Saccharomyces cerevisiae S288C: one gene and its partners. The gene in region 4 interacts genetically with the main gene of each other region. Each region holds a gene or a part of one and is shown on either strand. Other genes may lie near its edges.

Region 1 (4,072 bases), on a different chromosome or scaffold from region 4:
CAATAGCAATATCTTGGTCCCATAATCTCTTACCGGCCCAAGCCTTAACATCTTTGACTGTGATTGCATCAATTTTCTTGAAAGCCTCACCCAGAGACAGTTTGGAGCCCTTGATTAGGACTTCTGCGCCTAACAAGTTAGCGTCATTGACGGGATTACCAGATTCGTATAACTGCCCTAATTGTAATTTCAACAGCGATTTGGCACGTTCAACTTCAGTATCAGTGACAGAAATGGTCAATCTGTTCCATTGTTTCAAAGTGAAATGGATGAGGTCGTCAATCATGGTAACGTTTCTCGTGGCCGTAGAGAACCCCCATAAACCGGAATCTTTGTAAGAAAGAGAGAAATGATTGAAATTGTCGCATAATTGGTACTCCTGTATGTTGTCTAACAATTTGATACCTTGTAATCTAGAAGCGGGTTCGAAGGCGTTGTATGAGCCGAAAATTTGGGCGGCTAATTTAGCAACAAAATAATTTGGTGAATTGACAGGTTCACCTTCCACAGCCAGCGAAATCCACGCCTTTGGCAAGGTGTCGTCTCTCAATCTAACTTCGGAACCCAAGAAAGCGGCCTTTTTCTTGAGTACGGGCTTGGTACCGGTTTGCAAACTTAGGTTTTTGGATTCGATGGAATTTACTAAATCCTCATGTTTGATATTACCGGTACCAACAACAACAGCATTTGAATTCAAGAAATGGTTATTGGCAAAAGATTCCAGATCAGCAACAACTAAATTCTCCAAGGACTCCAAAGTACCTCTAGTAGGCAAAGATAATGGAGTGTTTTGGAAGGCGGTGGAGTGTAAATGTTCCAAAACTCTGTTGGGATGGTCGTTTTCTTCAAAATCTTGAACTTGCTTCAAGACAGATTTCTTCGTGGCCTCGAAGTTAGAAGAAGATAGCAAATTAGCCTTTTGTTGGATGAAAGACTGATTCAAGAAGTCTAGTGATTTATCGGTAGAACCTGGCAAAGAAGATACAATGTAAGATTGGAAGTCTCTGGAGATATTGGAAGACAATGCCAAACCTTCCTTGGCGGCAACAGCAGAGTTTTCTTTGGATAGAAAGATGTTCTTCCATAAATTGGAAACCCCGTTGTTATAAGGGTTTTCGTTGGCAGCACCGGAGCCGAAGACAACACCGACAGAGGCTGTGTGAGCGGAAGGATTATGCTCAGTGGCTACAACTATACCGTTAGATAATTGCGTTACTTCGGCCTTGGGGGTTGCTACAGCTGTAGCCAAAGACCTCTTGAACTGGTTAGATACAGTCTTTGAAGTTACTGTTCTTAGCATTTTTTTTGTTTATATATCTTGTGTTTTCTTTCTCAGTGATATGGTGACGATGATGTTCTTCTCGTATTATTACTCCACAATTGTCTTGATCAGCAATGGTAGCAATTTAATATTAGGATTCGTTACCTATACGAACAGGGATGATATAATATTTTTTCTGTGAAAGCTATTGCTTTATTATACGCTGTTTTCCTCGAATAAGACGGGGAAAGAGAGTAGGGGAATATCGGTTAGGGAGCGCTGTAGGCCTTTAATTTTCTTGTTTGGTTTTTATTTGGTGCAGCTGACAGCGCGGGCCCTTGAACTTCTGGAGGACAAAAAACACTGTTAATTTATTGGCATTTCATTGGTGCAGAAAGCGTGCTGTCCGGGTCACAGTTAAAGTTCATATACATGTTACCCTACCCAGTCCGGGTTATGTAAATCGTGAAAAAGAATATCTGGTTTTAAAATCTCTCTTTTCTTTTTCCCCCTGGTGGGTATGGGTGAAATGCTAGAGAGGCAAAAAAAAAGGTTGCCAAGTAAAGCGAAGTATTTGAAGTATACTGCAAGCATCACCGAAACAGGAAATCACGAAGCTGACTCATCTGTGATTTTCCGTCCCCACCATAGTGATGTAACATGCAGTAACGCACGGCGGGCCGAAAGTCGGACTTTACCCCAGATTTGTAGTTGTATCCTATTGGATCACGGGCGACGGACAAGACCCGAAGTGCGGACCGGCATGGTCAGCTTGCACGGAAGCTTTAAGGGTTTCCCTTGTTTCGGCATTAGAAGAGGCATTTCGCACGTTTTACCGGGTCAGAAACTTCGAGGAAGCTGTGACAATTGGAAAAAAAGGCAAAACTAAATGCAATGTATCCGGTTGCCCATGCATTATTTGTGATGTTTTCGGATGTAGTTCGCTGCGCTCCGCGGCGATATATCCTCTAGCGAGAGGCATATGTATAAATATATATATATATATCTAACAAAAGCATTCAAGTTTCTTTCTCTGGTGTTACGTCTTTGTTCGACTTTCTCTGCTTACAGCCCTGTATGACCAAAGAAAAAATAAAAAGACAGCTACATACCAGCAGAAATTTTTTATAGTATTACACTATACATCCAAGTTTTTTCACAATTATTTATTGTTTTTCTCACATAGAAAATTCCGCATACTGCGATTATAATGAACTCTACAACCCCATCGATTCAAGATCAATATATTTTGGCCAGCAAAGTACGCTCCAAGCTGGCAAAATGCGTTAGCGTGACTACTAAAAACAAAGACTACAACCTGAGAGTTTTAGTCGGGCACGCAAACTTGCTGGATAAGATTACAGAAAATGTGGAAACTCATAATGCTGCAACCAACGCCCTTGCCGGAGACCCTTTCAGTAAAGGACCTGAAAACTTGTCCATCGAACATATCGAATTGTCCAATGCTAATGCTAGTAAAAATGACGTCGGTAAGGAGGAAAATGCAGAAAAGACGATAGAAAGTGAAGATTACTGTGATTTTTACTCTAGTGACGAAGATCCAGATGCTGACACTCTATCTTCTACTGACAGTGAAGACGATGATGATTATGAAGACTATGATTTTGAGTACGATTACTCTGGCGGTGATTATAACAAGAAAATTGACATGTACTTTAGTTTTCACACCGCACCTAATTATCAATATTTGACTCACACAAACTCTCATTCCGAGCAGACGGATGAACTTGCCGAATCAACGCCGCGCTACAATGCTCTTCCCGCCACTGCCTCTACGACAGAGGAAGAACAGGACACTGAAACGCTCGATGCTGTGAGTTTGCATAGTTCAGCGCCAATCTTCCGTGTGCTCTCTCGGCGGGTAAATGGACAAGAAGATGACAGCGAAAACGAGAGTAGTAGCGATGTCGACGATGGTTCCGTACCATTAACGAGATTTCATTCTTGTCCTATCACAGCATAAATTAAAATGAAGGAAATAACACAACTTCGTTTTGCATTATCATATTCACATCTGCATCCTATTTTTTTTTTCTCATTGTTGTTGTATCATTATTACTAACTAGTGCATCACCACTTGTCTAAATACCAAACGCAAAATATATATATTCTTACTTCATAACGTTCAAAATAAAGTTTTTAGTTTAAAATAAAATAAAATAAAAAAAAAAAAAAAAAAAAAAAAGAACCTTTTGTTTTCGCCCAGTATATGGGTAAATTAACGGTTCCTTTTATTAGTCATTTTCAACTCTATACCATGCTCCAAAACGGCGTTCGGCACAGGTTTTTTATTTTACCACGATAACTCAATATGTACAAGATTATTGCATAGGCGAAAAGTAAAGTTTTAATATGGTACTTTGCGCAATAAAACTACGAATTCAAACGTAAAATAAGACTACAGAGACTAAGGTAAGACCTGTTCTGCTCAGATAAGTGGCGTTGTCCAAGTATCAGTTCTACGGGAACGTAAGAAAAAATTTTGCGTGAGCTCTCTTGAGAACCAAACCTTCTTTTTTTTTTTTACGAAATGCTATTTCGTTGCAGTGAGAAGGATTTTTTGAAAACAGAAATGAGTTAGGCCAGGCTGCTCGTACTCGCTTAAATTAGGAGTGCGAGACTGAAGACCTATGGTAAACAAGACTTTTTTTAACTAATCAAGCATGCGTAATGTTATTTTTACAAAATAAAGGTTACAATTTGAGATTATGCAGAAGCATATGTCTATATGTATGCAACAAATATGATGAGGCCTATGCAGATTATAAGTAAATTATTTTTTTTTTTTTT
Region 2 (5,155 bases), on a different chromosome or scaffold from region 4:
TTTTGAAAGTGCAGTAAGACAGGAAATTTAGATATTTTGCTAAGCTCATTCGATTGTAACATATTGAAAGCTCGGTATGTTATGCACTGAGGATCCATATATTTAAGATTAAACAAACTCTCGCACACAAACCTAATGCAGCAATATTCATCTTCGCAAGTGGGTGGTAATTGATTTATTCTCTTCGCAGATTTCATGTTGTTGATGCGCGGTATCCATTTACTTTCAATCTCATCCCATGAAGACTGTATGACATTTTCCGAAATTAAGATAGAGTTTAATTTTTCCTCCTGTTCAGAGGTATAATTATATCTTTTCAGCATGCTTGGAAAATGATGCAGTAATATCTCATAACATTCAATTAATTCAATGATATTTGGTATTTGAAGATAAGAAGTTCTGCAATGTTCTGAACAGAACCACAGTCCAGCGCCCAGAAACTTCTTAGGGTTAATTTGGTAGTGTGCATTACAAACCAAATCTCTCAGGTAATCGTAGTTTAGTTTGTACTTCATAGTTTTCGCATTAGCGTATGCGAAACAATTGTGACAAACTTCCTTCCTGAACTCATAGGAAATAGATGTTCCTGTAAAATTACTGACTTGCAAGACTGTTGTCCCTTTAGGAATATTACCATTACTGAAACAAGCCCTACCGCCCCATTTAGTTTGCCTAACCTGGAAAAATGGGGAAATTTCATGTACGTCTCCATCAATAGTCATTTTTAAATTTTAGGTTATTTTGTGTTTGCATATATAAATGGTATATATATATATATATATATTCATATAAATCTAGGGCTACATTTATAATATCAGAGATACATAAAACGGTAATGCAACAGTGGAGCAGTATTGTATCGCACGTTTCTTTTTTGTTTTTGTTTTTTAAATTTTTCCAGGTTTTGACAACGTGATGAGGTAATCTTCTGTTTTGCATATCCGCGCAATTTAAAATGCAGGCGACAAACCTTGTTCCAGGATTAAGGTTCTCTTTACTTCAATTCTGCAATGGGTACCATAGAAGGTCTCCCGTGGGCGCATTCGAATGGGTTATGGCATCGCGAGAGCTTGCTAATTAAAATTATGCACTCTTGCCGGGTTAATTCATCTCCAAACATAACAGCAGATCTGCATGCCTTGCTGTTAAGAATTTCATGAAAGACCGTTGGAACGCAGCTTGAGTACTTCCACCAATATAATTTATCAACCGAAGTGTAGTTTTCGAAATGGGATAAATCCATTGGAAGTTTTTTGAAATCCTTCAGGTCATGAGCATGTTGCAGCAAGACCATTTTTAAGTAGTCTTTATCCCCGTTATATTTGGAAGTTAACATCTCAGGCAGTGTTTTAATTTCCAAAAGTGAGGTTTCCATTGTTCCCTCAATTGTTTCATAGCCAATTCCCCACTTTTTAAATTCACTTTGATAATGCTTAAATAAGTCAGCCTCAGTACGATCAACTTCAATGCAACAATCCTTGAGGTCTCGTGCAACAAAAGTTCCGGTTACAACTTCTGTCAACAGGCTATAAAATAGCTCTTCTAGTCTTATCCTCTCATCGCAAGCATGTTGATCAACTAGAACTAATAGTGGGCAATTATGAATAGATTGGTCTAAACAACGTATGAGAATAAATTTTTTATCTACTTGATTAATCACTTCATATTTTGCCAGGACAGATCTTGATATTGAAAAATCTGTTATGGTTTTTCCTATACTGTCATAATCTTCTGTAAAACCACTATCGTAGGGCCTGGAAGAGAGTTTATTCCGTAACCTTGATTTCTGACCGTCGATTCTTATATTCTTGATTTTTTCGTAGTTTATTGTACTATTGTTTATTCTACATCCATTGACAGCGGGTTTTCCTATGTATGAATTAATGCGTGCAATCTTCATTTTTGAATTTAATACTTGATTACGTTTACTGATTTGGATTCGACTATCAGGCAATGTTGCCGTCTTCTGTGAACAATTGACTATTTCGAAAGATGAATCTGATTTATCAGGCGTTAAGTATCCTTGAAATGTCAGAAAGGAGCGAATGGTCTTAACGATCAATGGTTCAATGGTACGTATATGGGAAGGCTTAACAATTTTCTTTGCTGGATCTTGTAACAGGTCATCGATAGTTTGGGGGCACCGAACATCAAGGATGAAGACGGGATGTGATCGATACGGTTTTCCCACGCTTTTAGTTTTGAGTAAACTCATGCCTTTCTCCCCGAAATCTTGTGCTTGGAATAAAGAATCGACGTATCCTTGAAAGGCGCTGTCCGCATAACGTCTGCCATTGATATATATAAATTGAAGATCCTTCAATCCAACGGGCATCTTCGATATGATCCCTTCAATCTGATATTCATTAAACTTCAAGGAAACTTTCTTAAGCATATCCGGTGGTATTATTGCCCCAAACACATTTCTCAGTACTTGAGACATTTGCTGGTGCTTTGTTAACCCCTCAGTTATGTTCTTTGAGCGGAAAAGAACTTCTGTATTGATTCTGAGTTTGTCTGTATATTGTACGTTGAGTGAAATCATCGGGTGCATTACCAGTATCTGTAGCATATCTGCCTTTATTGTGTTAAAAGTCTTGAAAGGGGGTTCTTCCTTTAGTATTCTGCGCCGGACAGGTAAATTATACAGCATATCTTCAACAATAACAACAGTACCAGACTTTGTTCGGCTCCAAGGACAAATTTTCCAAAAAGGATCTATTGGGAGTATGGTATTCTCACTCAACATGACGCTTTTGGATGGAAATTTTCTCATCCATGCAGAGTTGTAATCCTTTTTCTTGGAACAAACAAACAGATTAGAGACATTAGAAATGCTATATAGGGCGTCTCCTCTGTAACCGTAGGTTTTCATCGTTACTAAATCATTCATCTTTCGTATTTTGGAAGTATAATTTTGTGTGGCCAATATATTTAGGTCACTTCGAGTCAAACCAATACCATCATCGTAAACTGCAAAGCTCAAATTAGGGAGGTCGATCATGACGTCGATAGTGGTAGCGTGTGCATCTACAGAATTTTGAACTATTTCTCTAACCGCTGATGCTAGCGATACCGTGCATGCCTGAGATTTAAGTCTTTCAGAAACATCAGAATCTAATTTCCTAATATGCTGGCTCATTTTCTTTTTGAGTTGACGAGTTCACGTTCATTCTTCCTTGAAAGCCTCGCTGGTTTATGTATCGGTGGTTGAAATCATCATTCGATGTTTATTGCAAACTATTGATCTTTTTTTCCTGCCCCTTCTCGTGGCGCTCGCAAATAAACGCAAACTAAATATAAGCGTACAAACAGACAGATTTTGTGCTACTTATTGATTATTTAGAAAAGCTACTATTGTTCTTGAAAGTCATAATAGAACTACTTATATATGTATCAATGGGGTTGAATTTGCGCTTTATGTATTTTTTAAGGAATGATATGAAAGTTGTCTCTAGTCTATTTATTGAATCGTAAATCAAAAAATACTAGTGATCCCATATAGGATAACTAGTAAAGGTTTCGTTAAAAGTAGCTTTTTTTCTCGATTCAACGTCACGCATTAAATGTGGGTACCGTTGTTAGCAGAACCTGTAACATTACTAGCATCGGCAGTTATAGTAACGTATTTAACAACAGGCTCCGCCGTAGTAGTAACCACTTCGGTAACTGCAGCAGCTGTAACTGTAACATACTTGGTAGACGCACTACAGTACTGTTCATCGGCGGATGTGGTTTGAATCATCTGAGATTGATGTTCAGCAGAGACTAACTTTTCTAAGGCATCAACATTGGAGGCGGCGTCCCCAGCTGTGGATGTCGCTATTGTATTACTAGCTTGGGAATTATATACAGTAACCAATAAGGTTGAGGTCAAAGTAGAGGTGTATGTACTGCCCGATTCGGTTACTGTAGAAGCAATTTCTGTGACGCTCGTGGAAATCTGTTCAGCCTTCTCGTTGGCGGATTCCGTAGATAGAGTTATTATGTAAGTAGAGGTCAGAGTAGACGTGTAGGTGGTGTCTGTGTCAGAATAGGTGGTGGTGTATTCATTTGTGGACGTAGTTAGGCTAGGCGTGCTTGCAGTAGGTGTACTTGCAGTAGGTGTACTAATAATAGCAGCTGATTGGGAGGTAGTGAACCAGTAGGTAGAGTAAAAAGTAGATGTTATGTAGAAGGTGGTTGTTTCATCGCTGTACGTTAATGTTGTCTCTTGAGGTGAAACAGAGTATGTTGGAGTTAATGTCTTCGTGTATGGTGTATAGCTCGTAGTTTCATTGACATATAAGGCAGAAGCGAAGTTGGAGGTTACCAGTAGTAAACTACACAATATTTTGAAAATCATTGCGATATATATTCTAATTTGTTGGTTGTGTTAGACAACTAGTGTACAAGAAAGAGACTAGATGGCCATAACGGATCTTGATAATTCATTTTCTTACGTCTTTTAAATACACTCCCTCTCCATCACATACAGATTGATTTAATGTCTACCTCTTCTAAGCCATCTGAAATTCTTGGGTCTTTCTCTGTTTACGGTTATTTGAAACACGAAATTACTTAAGAACACGAAATGCCAATTATTAGCGTCGCGAATTGAATATCCAATGCGGCGGGAAAATCAAAAAACGAAAATAGAATAGGAAAAACTGCCGTAGTTATAGAATCAAACCTGAGCGCCAGTTTCATTCTTCTAGCGGAGAATGCTTTCCCAAACAATAACCCACAGATTATGTGTTGAAGAGTCTAGGCTTGTGGAAATTGAAATCAAAATGTTTGTTCCCTTTAAAAAAAATCAATTAAGCAAGGAAAGGAAATAAACAGTGCATGCTTTCCTTATCCTTGGAATACTATATTATGCTACCATAGCTGGAAATGTTGTTATCCTTGTTAGGCACTTCATTTGAGACTTCCGATAAATCAGGAATTTCGTCATTTAGGAATGTGTTCGTTTCAAAATTCTCTGCATTGGTTATCGTTAGGCTCTCAGAATGTAACCTGATGACATTGTCGACACAAAAGTACTGGAAGCAATTCAGTAAGATAGGAAAGACAAACATGACCAGAAAAACTTGAAAGTTTGGCCATGAATCTGACCAGCCAAGGATAAGATCGGCGAACCAGTATGCCAAGTCTTCTAAGTAGTTTAGTATTA
Region 3 (3,346 bases), on a different chromosome or scaffold from region 4:
AACGTGAGTACGCAGAGGAGATAGAAGAAAAGTAGGAAGTTACCGTTTATATTGATTTGTGAAATGCATACTCCGTTGGATGTGGGGCAACATAGATTTAAGTGTGGATGAAAATTATGTGCTCATTGTGAAAAAAAAGTTTTGCTTTTACTAACAAATTTTTTTATTATTTGTTTTCAATAGACGTTTCCTCTGACAGAAGAAAGGCCAGAAAGGCTTATTTCACTGCTCCATCCTCTGAACGTCGTGTTTTGTTATCTGCTCCATTATCCAAGGAATTGAGAGCTCAATATGGTATCAAGGCTTTGCCAATCAGAAGAGACGATGAAGTCTTGGTTGTTCGTGGTTCCAAGAAGGGTCAAGAAGGTAAGATTTCATCTGTTTACAGATTGAAGTTTGCTGTTCAAGTTGACAAGGTCACCAAGGAAAAGGTCAACGGTGCTTCCGTTCCAATTAACTTGCACCCATCCAAGCTTGTTATCACTAAGTTACACTTGGACAAGGACAGAAAGGCTTTGATCCAAAGAAAGGGTGGTAAATTGGAATAAACTAGCTCGACTTTAACATAGATCATACAAAAAATACAATAAATAAATCCTGTGTTTCTTTTATGTATATTTTTTATCAATTTCAATTTAGTTTAGTTTAGTTTCTTTAAAAATAAAATTGTAATTTCTCACATTCTGCCTTCGGGTCTCAAGGGCTGGTTGGTAGACGAATGCGCTTGTTTCTAGCTGAGCGGCAGATGCATGAATTCAATGCAAGAAAATGAGAAAACTTCCAATATTAAAATGTGATTGTTAATTATTAGTATATTTATGACAATATATATATGTACATAGGGTGATTATGAAGATGAGTAAGATGCGAATGGATATGAGGATATGAATCTTTTTAGAGACAATGAAGATGCAAAGAAGTAGTTAAGCACATTGACCTCAGGGTTGCTATATGCTACTTTTAGTCCGTTGGATTTCTGAAGCAGTATTGGCCACAAAAATTTCTTCATTATTTCTACGATTAGAGTTTCTTCTGGATTTTTCTCGTCCCTGAGACTTACTCCTTTTCAAGTCATTTTCAGCAGCAGCTTTGATTAAATCATATCTTGTGATTTTACTTGGAGAGCTATTGTGATGGGAACTTTGTCTGCATGTGACTGTATTAGTCAGAGATGTTATGGGCTTAACCATAAGGGAAGAAACTATGGCACGCATGAATGAATTACTGCTTTTACTGCTGTCATCTGTTGAGTTTGCTGAGTCTTCCGTTCTTGTAGTCTTGGCTGGTGTGAGTAACATTACGTATTGTTTCTGTAGAGAAGATAACTTATAACTTCCGTCTTGTCACTAGTTGTTTTAATTATATGTTTGTTACAAGTTTTTATGTATAGATATATGTTACAACTTTTAGAAGTATTGTGGACATAACAGAGAGAAGGGAATGTTGCTATATTTATATATTTTATATATTGCCCTCAAAACTGTATCTCATCTTTTTTTCTGCAATCCTTGCTTTCGTAATCTAAGTGTGGGTGACATGCTAAATCCGCGGCTTTCCTTAAGCTTTTTCACAAACCATCTATTATGTCCAGAAGCTCCGCTGATTATCCGTGGAAAAGGGTCTTATTCTGCCGTAGGAAACTTCTTCTCGAGAAAAAAGTGAGTTCACCCGCGGCGCTCTCGTAAAACCCGAGGGCCGATTCTTTCCCTCCGTGGAACAATCGGCCCCGCGGCGTCAGAGGGTATTATCTCCGCAAGTGATAGAACTCACATTTATTCTACGTTCTGCATGGTTTTGATTATCTTCTTTTGCACGATGTCACATACTTTTTCGATTACCGTCGCTTTACACAGTAACTGTTTAAAACGAGCGTTCTTAATTAATAACTGTAGGAGAGCAGGCTTTCGGCTTTCTTTATGAGAAATAAGGACTACTCCAGCTTGCCAAGTTTTATCCAGTTACACAAACGCTCAAGATCGCCTCGCTAAAATAGATGAAAAAATAAGAAAAATGAAATGTTCAACCTAATCCCTTTTGGATTTATCATTGAAAGATCGCTGATTTATTCTTTTCCAATACGCCTCGTAATTCTCTTTCAATGTCAAAGGCGCCAGATTGTAAGAATCTGTCATGTAAAATAATCTGACAATACGTAGTTTTAAAAACCAATTGATTAAACCAAGCTCTCTTATGATGCCAACTATAAAAAAATAAAGTGATCCAGTCAGTGCCCCCACGCTGAATCCCACGATTACTTGATCTAAATTGTGGTAGTGCAAGTAAACTCTGGAAAAGCAAACGCAAAACGATAATAAAGCCAATGCACCAGAAAAAATGCATTTTTCTAAGAAGTTTAGATTCTTCCAGGAAGTGTATATCTTCAGAGAGTTATAGGTAAAACAAAACCCCATGAATTGGGAGTGTGCACTGGGCATCCCGTAACCGGATCTTATAGTGTCATTTTGGAACGACGCACCGAACGATACGGGGCGTGGCTGTTTTATTATATTCTTGATCACGTTATTGAATATTTCGTTCATCAATTGGCCAAAGGCTACAATGCAGGCTTCTAACTCTCTTGTGATGATAAACCACGACAAATAAAAAGCTAGCACTAGGATGGGCATCAGCGAGAAATATGCACTAAGGAATGATAGAAAGTCATGCGAATCATAGAGAATGTATGTGTCATCGAATGGTATAACATTTGGATTTGGATTTATTGCAGCGGCGGTACTATTCATGATATGATCCGATTCAAAACAAATTTTGATGTAGATAAAATGCCTGGTATAATGAGTGGTAGAGAAGAAAATTAGACGAAAAGAATGAGAACGAAGAAATGATTTAAAGTGATCACAGTGGCAATCACTTTCCCCTTTTTAACGCGTGTTGAGCAATCGATTGATGTCTCTACCATATGTAGCATTTTCTCAGAAGGCAAACTTTTCTTTTTCTTTCTACTTTTCCAACAAGAAATTTTAAGTTTTCCCAGAAACCCGAATTCTCCTATTTCATCCACCACGTAAGAACGGTTTTCTTCCTGGCGTAATTAAAAGCATAAAGAAAAACTGAACAAGCTCTAGATGTAGATCAGGGTATACATGGTGCGCTTCAGTAAGTGTACTGTACCACTAGTTTGGCGTCTGTCACTTGAATTGCGGATTTGTGTAGAGCAATGAAAGCGCTGCTTCTGCCGCCATCAAAAAAAACTGAGTAGTTATTAAAGCCTATGTATGACAATATAAAAATGTATACAGATCAGTCTGTATATAAATCATGAAAATATCTTTAAAAATTTCAAGAGCGTGTTTCCGCTAAACCTTGTCATATTCAACACAAATCA
Region 4 (5,664 bases):
TATTATCAACAGGTTCAGAGAGGTAAACAAGACAAGAAAATATCTCGTAAAGAGGCTCATAAGAATGCTGTTATTGCTGCAAGGGAAGGAAAATTGGCGGAATTGGCTGAAAATGTCTCAGGTGATGGTAAGCGTGCCATTAATTATCAAATTTTAAAGAACAAGGGTCTAACGCCTAAAAGAAACAAGGATAACAGAAACTCTCGTGTCAAGAAGAGAAAGAAATACCAAAAGGCACAAAAGAAACTCAAGTCGGTTCGTGCAGTTTATTCTGGTGGTCAATCTGGCGTCTATGAAGGTGAAAAGACAGGTATCAAGAAGGGTTTGACGAGGTCTGTTAAATTCAAGAATTAAAAAAATTTACATATGTAGTATTTACCCAAGTAGTGGTGTCAAAATTTTTGTACCCATACAATATATTTTTATAAGAAAAGAGCAACCGCTTGACATTTATTAACTTAAATATGTTACAAGTAAGCGTTTTTTTATTCTTTGATATATTAGCGAAGGAAATTTTTCAATTTAAGCCTGAGATTCTCGGAAGTTGTTGTAGTTTCGAGATCCAAATCCCAAGATAAAAACTTTTTCACTATTTCCTGATTCTTTTGGAATTCTCTCATCTCCTTTTCGGTCAGATTTCCACATTGCTGAACTACGTCATCGCCTCTATTAATCATGCGAGATAGTTCTTCAGCCCTTTCCACAATATCTCTGCTCAAACCACATACTTTTGCGCAATATATGCCAAATGACTGCTTTGAGATCCCCTCCTTTACTTTGAATAGGAATGTGATTCCCTCACTTTCATGATCTTCTCCGACATGTGCTGTTTCTAAAAGATTATATTTTTGGCTGATAAGTATATCAGTGCAGTAATGTTTGATACCTTTTATATTCTCTGTGAGTACATTTTCGTTAAATAGTTCATGAAAGTGTGTACATGCGATTATGCGTGGACATTTTTCACTCTTGGACATATTGAGCATTATGGAACCAAATAGTGAAGGTCCATCTAAAATATCAGTACCTTTGCCGTATTCATCAATTAAAATGAGACTTTTTTCAGTGGCCAAACTCAGTGATTTTGCCATTTGTTGAGAATCTAGCAAAAAGGAACTTTGAGTCTTATAAACAGTTTCTTGAGTCCTGATTCTAGTTAATATTTTATCCGCTATTCCAATTCTCGCTCTCTCTGCTGGAACAAAACAACCAATTTGTGCCAAGTACACAATTAAACCATTCTGTGTAAGATATACAGACTTTCCAGATGCATTAGCGCCAGTGACTACAATGATTCTTCCTTTATTTTGTTCACACCAACTTAATTCAGAAAATAGCCCGCCATCAATCATTGTGCTATTGGGGATATAATTATCAAGGAATGTTTCATACAAAGCATGTCTTCCGTTAATAATTTCCAATATGCACTCATCTTCCACCAATTGAGGCTCTGCATAATTCCTTTCAGCAGACACTTGAGCGAACGATAATAATATTTCCAGTTCACTAAGCAGTATATTGTAAGCAGTGAGTTGAGTCTTTCTTCTCAGAATTTGTTCTTGTAAGGAAAACAGGATTTCAATTTCAAAATCTGAAATCGCGCCATAAATATCGCCGTATGTTTCATCCAGCTCAAGAACCCTGCCATTTTTGAAGTATATATTTTCTGAACTCCTAAAGATCTCTTCCCATTGAAGGTTTGGAATGCCATCCAATAAAGGTTCCATTAAGACGCTAATGGTTACTAAGTATCCTAATTGGGGAATATAAACAGCATTCACTAACTTTTCTAAACTCTTTGTTGTCTTACAATCTTCTTGAGGCATAGTATTCAGTAAAAAAATTTGAGTTTCTCTTGCGACATCCAGTAAGATCCCTTCCAAATGATTATAAATATTTCTGCATTCGTCTAATCTGTTGTCAACCCCCGTATTTATCGTGAGCGTCTTGGTATCTCTTGATGTGTCAAAATCTATTACCGTTTCTACTTTTCTCAAACATTCCTTTAAAGCTGATATATCAACCTTATTTTTGATATCATGTAAAATGTTGGCTTCGTCTGAACCTAATTTCAAGGACGACACCAGTTGAAATATAGCTATTCCTTTTTCTAAAAAACTTGCAACCTTGGACCATGTCCCTAATGTCGATTTACCACTTCTTAACTGATTTATAAACCCAAAAGCGTCTGGACATCTTTTTATTGATTGGCTAAGGTCACTAAAAATGATGGCGTTTTGTTTATCCAATAAGGTTCTTATGATGCTGTATCTTGTTTCTATCCGTTTTTTATTGGTTAATGGGTTAATAAGCCAAGACTTCAAAATTCTCCTGGCGTAGTCCGAAGACACTTGATTGAATAGTTCAAATACACTAAAGAAACCATTTCTCATCATCTTATCATGGCCCAGTTTATGAGCTGTTGGAAAAATATGCAAAGCCGATATAGTATTTTCATCCAGTACCATCCGATCCCTTATGTCGATATACCTTATGCCATGTATCACATCTTCAAAAGCATTCTGAACTAATCGTCCTGTTACCATATTACTTGAAGCAGTACTGTCATTGTATTCACCAAGTTGTTCATGATTTGCAAGGATGCATCCCACTGTACCTAAGGTGACTGTGGTGGTAAATTTGCTATTTGATAATATGTCGTTCAATATAGTCTGATTATCATGACCCCTTAACTGCAATGACTGCAATAAGTCCCATTTTTTGAAACGTTTTATTGGTTGTAGTTCTAGCCTACAGTTTATCTCATCGCATTTTGTCTTAATGTAGTCGAAAATCCAATCCTCCAATCTTGCCGGCACTAGGCATACAGTTGGGTTTGCTTCCATTATTAAAAGTCCAAGTAACAGACTTATGTCGTTTGAAGACATATCTGCATCATCGATAAGATCATGAGACGAAATTGTTGTTTTATTGACCACGTAGTCCTGGTCAAACGCTTTCAAAGTCTTGGTATGATAATCTAAAATAGAACACCCGAGTTTTCCTCCAGAAAAGTCAATACACATTACAATCTCCTCGTCAAAATCGAAGGAGAAAATGGTAGAGCTATCCTCTTCACGATTTGTATCACCTTCGTTAAATTCTCCGTCATTGTTGGCAACGACAGCACCTTTATCCCGCAAACCTTCCCCATTACCAATGCTTCTCATTGTTTCCGATGCGCTTATGAGCCATTCATGGGACATATTCCATTTGGTGGCAGTATATGAATGAGTAAGTTATTTTGAATGAGTTGTTTTGTTAACCTTGATTTTAGCTTCAATTTTTTAATAATTAACCGCCGAGCTAATTTCGCGTCATATCCATATGGATTGTGGATGCTTTAAAAAAAGTACGGAGATTAGTATGTTTTAAGGTTAAAAAGTTACATATGTTTATTACTGATGATTAAAGTTTTTGTGTGCAAAAGACGGTAATGAATCCTTTTTCCTTTGTTGATGCCATGTCTCGAGCTGAGGCTTTTTAGTTAGATCTTTCTACTCTGTGTTCAGCTAATGCTATCCACTTCGCTACGATCTGTGAAGAATGCAAATAACGACGTGAAGAATATTTTCTCCATATGGCGTTATGACGTTTAGAGGCATATCTGCAATTTTCTAAAATAATGGTGGCCAACGGAAGAATTTGTTCTTGTGTATAATTGGAATAGTAGACGTGCGCCAGAGACCACTGATTTTGGCCCAGAATAATCTTACTTAGAAAGTATGCACCGGCAGCTAACCAACTAGGTTGAGCGGAAACCAGTCGATGGTCCATTATTGTGGATTCCAATAGATATTTGGCCAGTGTTCTCGTATCATGCTCGTAATCGTCTGCCTTACTGATTCTTCGTAAAAATGACATCGGACCAGGCCAACCCAATTCAAATTCTAAGCCGTTCAAAATAGTTCTTTCTGCGTCCAGCAGGTCGTTCCTTGAGTAGCAGTTTTCTGACATGTATACGAAATCCTTGATTGTAGGACAGTTGATTTCCTCATATTTAGCAGCAATGAAGAGTGAGGCTGCACCCACAAGTTGGAACTTATTTACAGGAACAACTTCTTTGCACAGATATCTGTCTATTATATTAATGCAGAGATATAGAGTTTCAGGTAAAAGTTGAAATTTTTCATGTACTTGGACGATCCAATCAATCAGTGTGCTTCGAAACGACCATCTTAACTCTGGTTGTTTATCCATGTAGTACGGGTTGGGTTTATACAGGTCTTCCAATTTCCTCATATACTCGAATATCTCATTAGATAATTCGGCAACCATGACCACATCGTACACGTCATCATCATTGGGATCTAATGTAGTTCTATAGTAAGTTCTAAATGCATGCTCCCAGACCAATGTATCACTAGCATAATGTTGCAACAGTAGAGGCTCCTGGTCTTCTTCTTCATCCTCTTCGCTTTCTCCGTCGTCTTCAACGGGTTCCTCTTGTTCCCTGTCCGTTAACAAATCGTTATGATCAGCTTCTTTTCTCTGTGCAACACTATTCGCATCCAGCCTTTCTTCCTCAATTATCGCAGCTGAATCCAATCTTTCTTTAATTGGGGCGACTTTTGGCTTACTTATGCTGTTGTTGCTAGAGTTTGTCGCAACTATATTGGTAACGTCGCTAAGTGCGACCCTCGGGTGCGCAGATGAAATATGACTGAGGGATCCAGTCCTGTGTTTAAGATTACCTATAGGTGCCACATTTTCATCCTCGGGGCTCCTGATGTGTCCAGAGCTCAAAGACTGTGAGTTATGATGCATTTATAATAAGCAATGATAAAAAGGACAAAATATCTCTATGTTTTAAAGCGAAGGACAGAAACAATAAATAGCTTTTTCTCTGCAATTTTCTTTTCTTTTCTTCTAAGCAAGCAGCTAAAAATTTCTGATCGTTTTCTTTCGACCGGATCAAAAATGTTTTTATGTGTCCATGTTCTTGCATTTCAATATTTTTGTTTTCTTTTGTTTTGTTTTGTTCCTTCGCTTGTCGCCTCGTTCTGCTGAAAAGCGGGAGAGAAAAAAGGCAGTGCGGGTAACTGAGATGTTTTCATTCTTCCTGCTTTATGGTTCCGGAGTCATCAGTAAAGAGGAATATTTTGCCGCTAGAATTACCACCTGCAATCCAGTTTCGCAGCGGGTGCCAACTAATTACAGCTGGGACAGTAGCTGTGGGTAGGTGAGCCAGTTGCTGGCCTTCGCTGTTGTATATGTCGATGGCGCGCTTCATGTTAGCTATTGCAAAAACATTCTTGTTCGGCTTGAACCTGGCCTTGAGGATGCTTGTCCATCTTCCTGTTTGGCAATTGTGCTGAATCGTTAGTTTGGGCTCCAACTTCGCAGAAAGGTGATCCCTACTCTTGACATCGAATAAGCGGATGGTATCGTCATAGCCATTGCACACTAAGGTGCCATCTGTCGGTGAGTAAGAAACTGCAGAGACGCTCAATCTTGAGTCATATGTGGAGACAATTTCATGACTGGGATAGTCTTCATATTGTGACCACTCTGGCTTTTTAACAAGGTTTCTTGTATCCCAGATTTTGAGTGTTCTATCAAGTGATCCGGTGGCAATCTCGTAGGGTCTCATGGGATTTATTGCCATAGACCCGATCTTCTTGTCTGCGAGTCTTCGCAGATTATACTCTGATTTTTTTACTC

What was found.
Region 1: mutations in MSH5 (region 4) and ECM13 together harm fitness more than expected from each alone (negative genetic interaction), as found in Saccharomyces cerevisiae (one large-scale study listed by BioGRID).
Region 2: of MSH5 (region 4) and MLH3, changing one enhances a phenotype caused by changing the other (phenotypic enhancement), as found in Saccharomyces cerevisiae (one study listed by BioGRID).
Region 3: mutations in MSH5 (region 4) and YGR035C together harm fitness more than expected from each alone (negative genetic interaction), as found in Saccharomyces cerevisiae (one large-scale study listed by BioGRID).

Annotation. Positions count from the first base shown.
Region 1 is NC_001134.8:134,217-138,288, forward strand, and holds ECM13 (Ecm13p), read left to right. Parts: upstream 1-2,471; coding exon 2,472-3,245; downstream 3,246-4,072. Other genes in the region: ubiquinol--cytochrome-c reductase subunit COR1, read right to left, coding at 1-1,300; YBL044W (uncharacterized protein), read left to right, coding at 1,782-2,150.
Region 2 is NC_001148.4:238,356-243,510, forward strand, and holds MLH3 (mismatch repair protein MLH3), read right to left. Parts: upstream 3,143-5,155; coding exon 995-3,142; downstream 1-994. Other genes in the region: SET6 (Set6p), read right to left, coding at 1-722; SVS1 (Svs1p), read right to left, coding at 3,563-4,345; YPL162C (uncharacterized protein), read right to left, coding at 4,851-5,155. UniProt on the Saccharomyces cerevisiae protein: Involved in DNA mismatch repair (MMR), correcting insertion-deletion loops (IDLs) resulting from DNA replication, DNA damage or from recombination events between non-identical sequences during meiosis.
Region 3 is NC_001139.9:556,125-559,470, forward strand, and holds YGR035C (uncharacterized protein), read right to left. Parts: upstream 1,299-3,346; coding exon 948-1,298; downstream 1-947. Other genes in the region: 60S ribosomal protein uL24 RPL26B, read left to right, coding at 184-548; YGR035W-A (uncharacterized protein), read left to right, coding at 1,441-1,662; CAX4 (dolichyldiphosphatase), read right to left, coding at 2,025-2,744.
Region 4 is NC_001136.10:175,876-181,539, reverse strand, and holds MSH5 (MutS family protein MSH5), read right to left. Parts: upstream 3,207-5,664; coding exon 501-3,206; downstream 1-500. Other genes in the region: rRNA-processing protein SAS10, read left to right, coding at 1-354; B-type cyclin CLB3, read right to left, coding at 3,484-4,767; CMR1 (Cmr1p), read right to left, coding at 5,054-5,664. UniProt on the Saccharomyces cerevisiae protein: Involved in meiotic recombination. Facilitate crossovers between homologs during meiosis.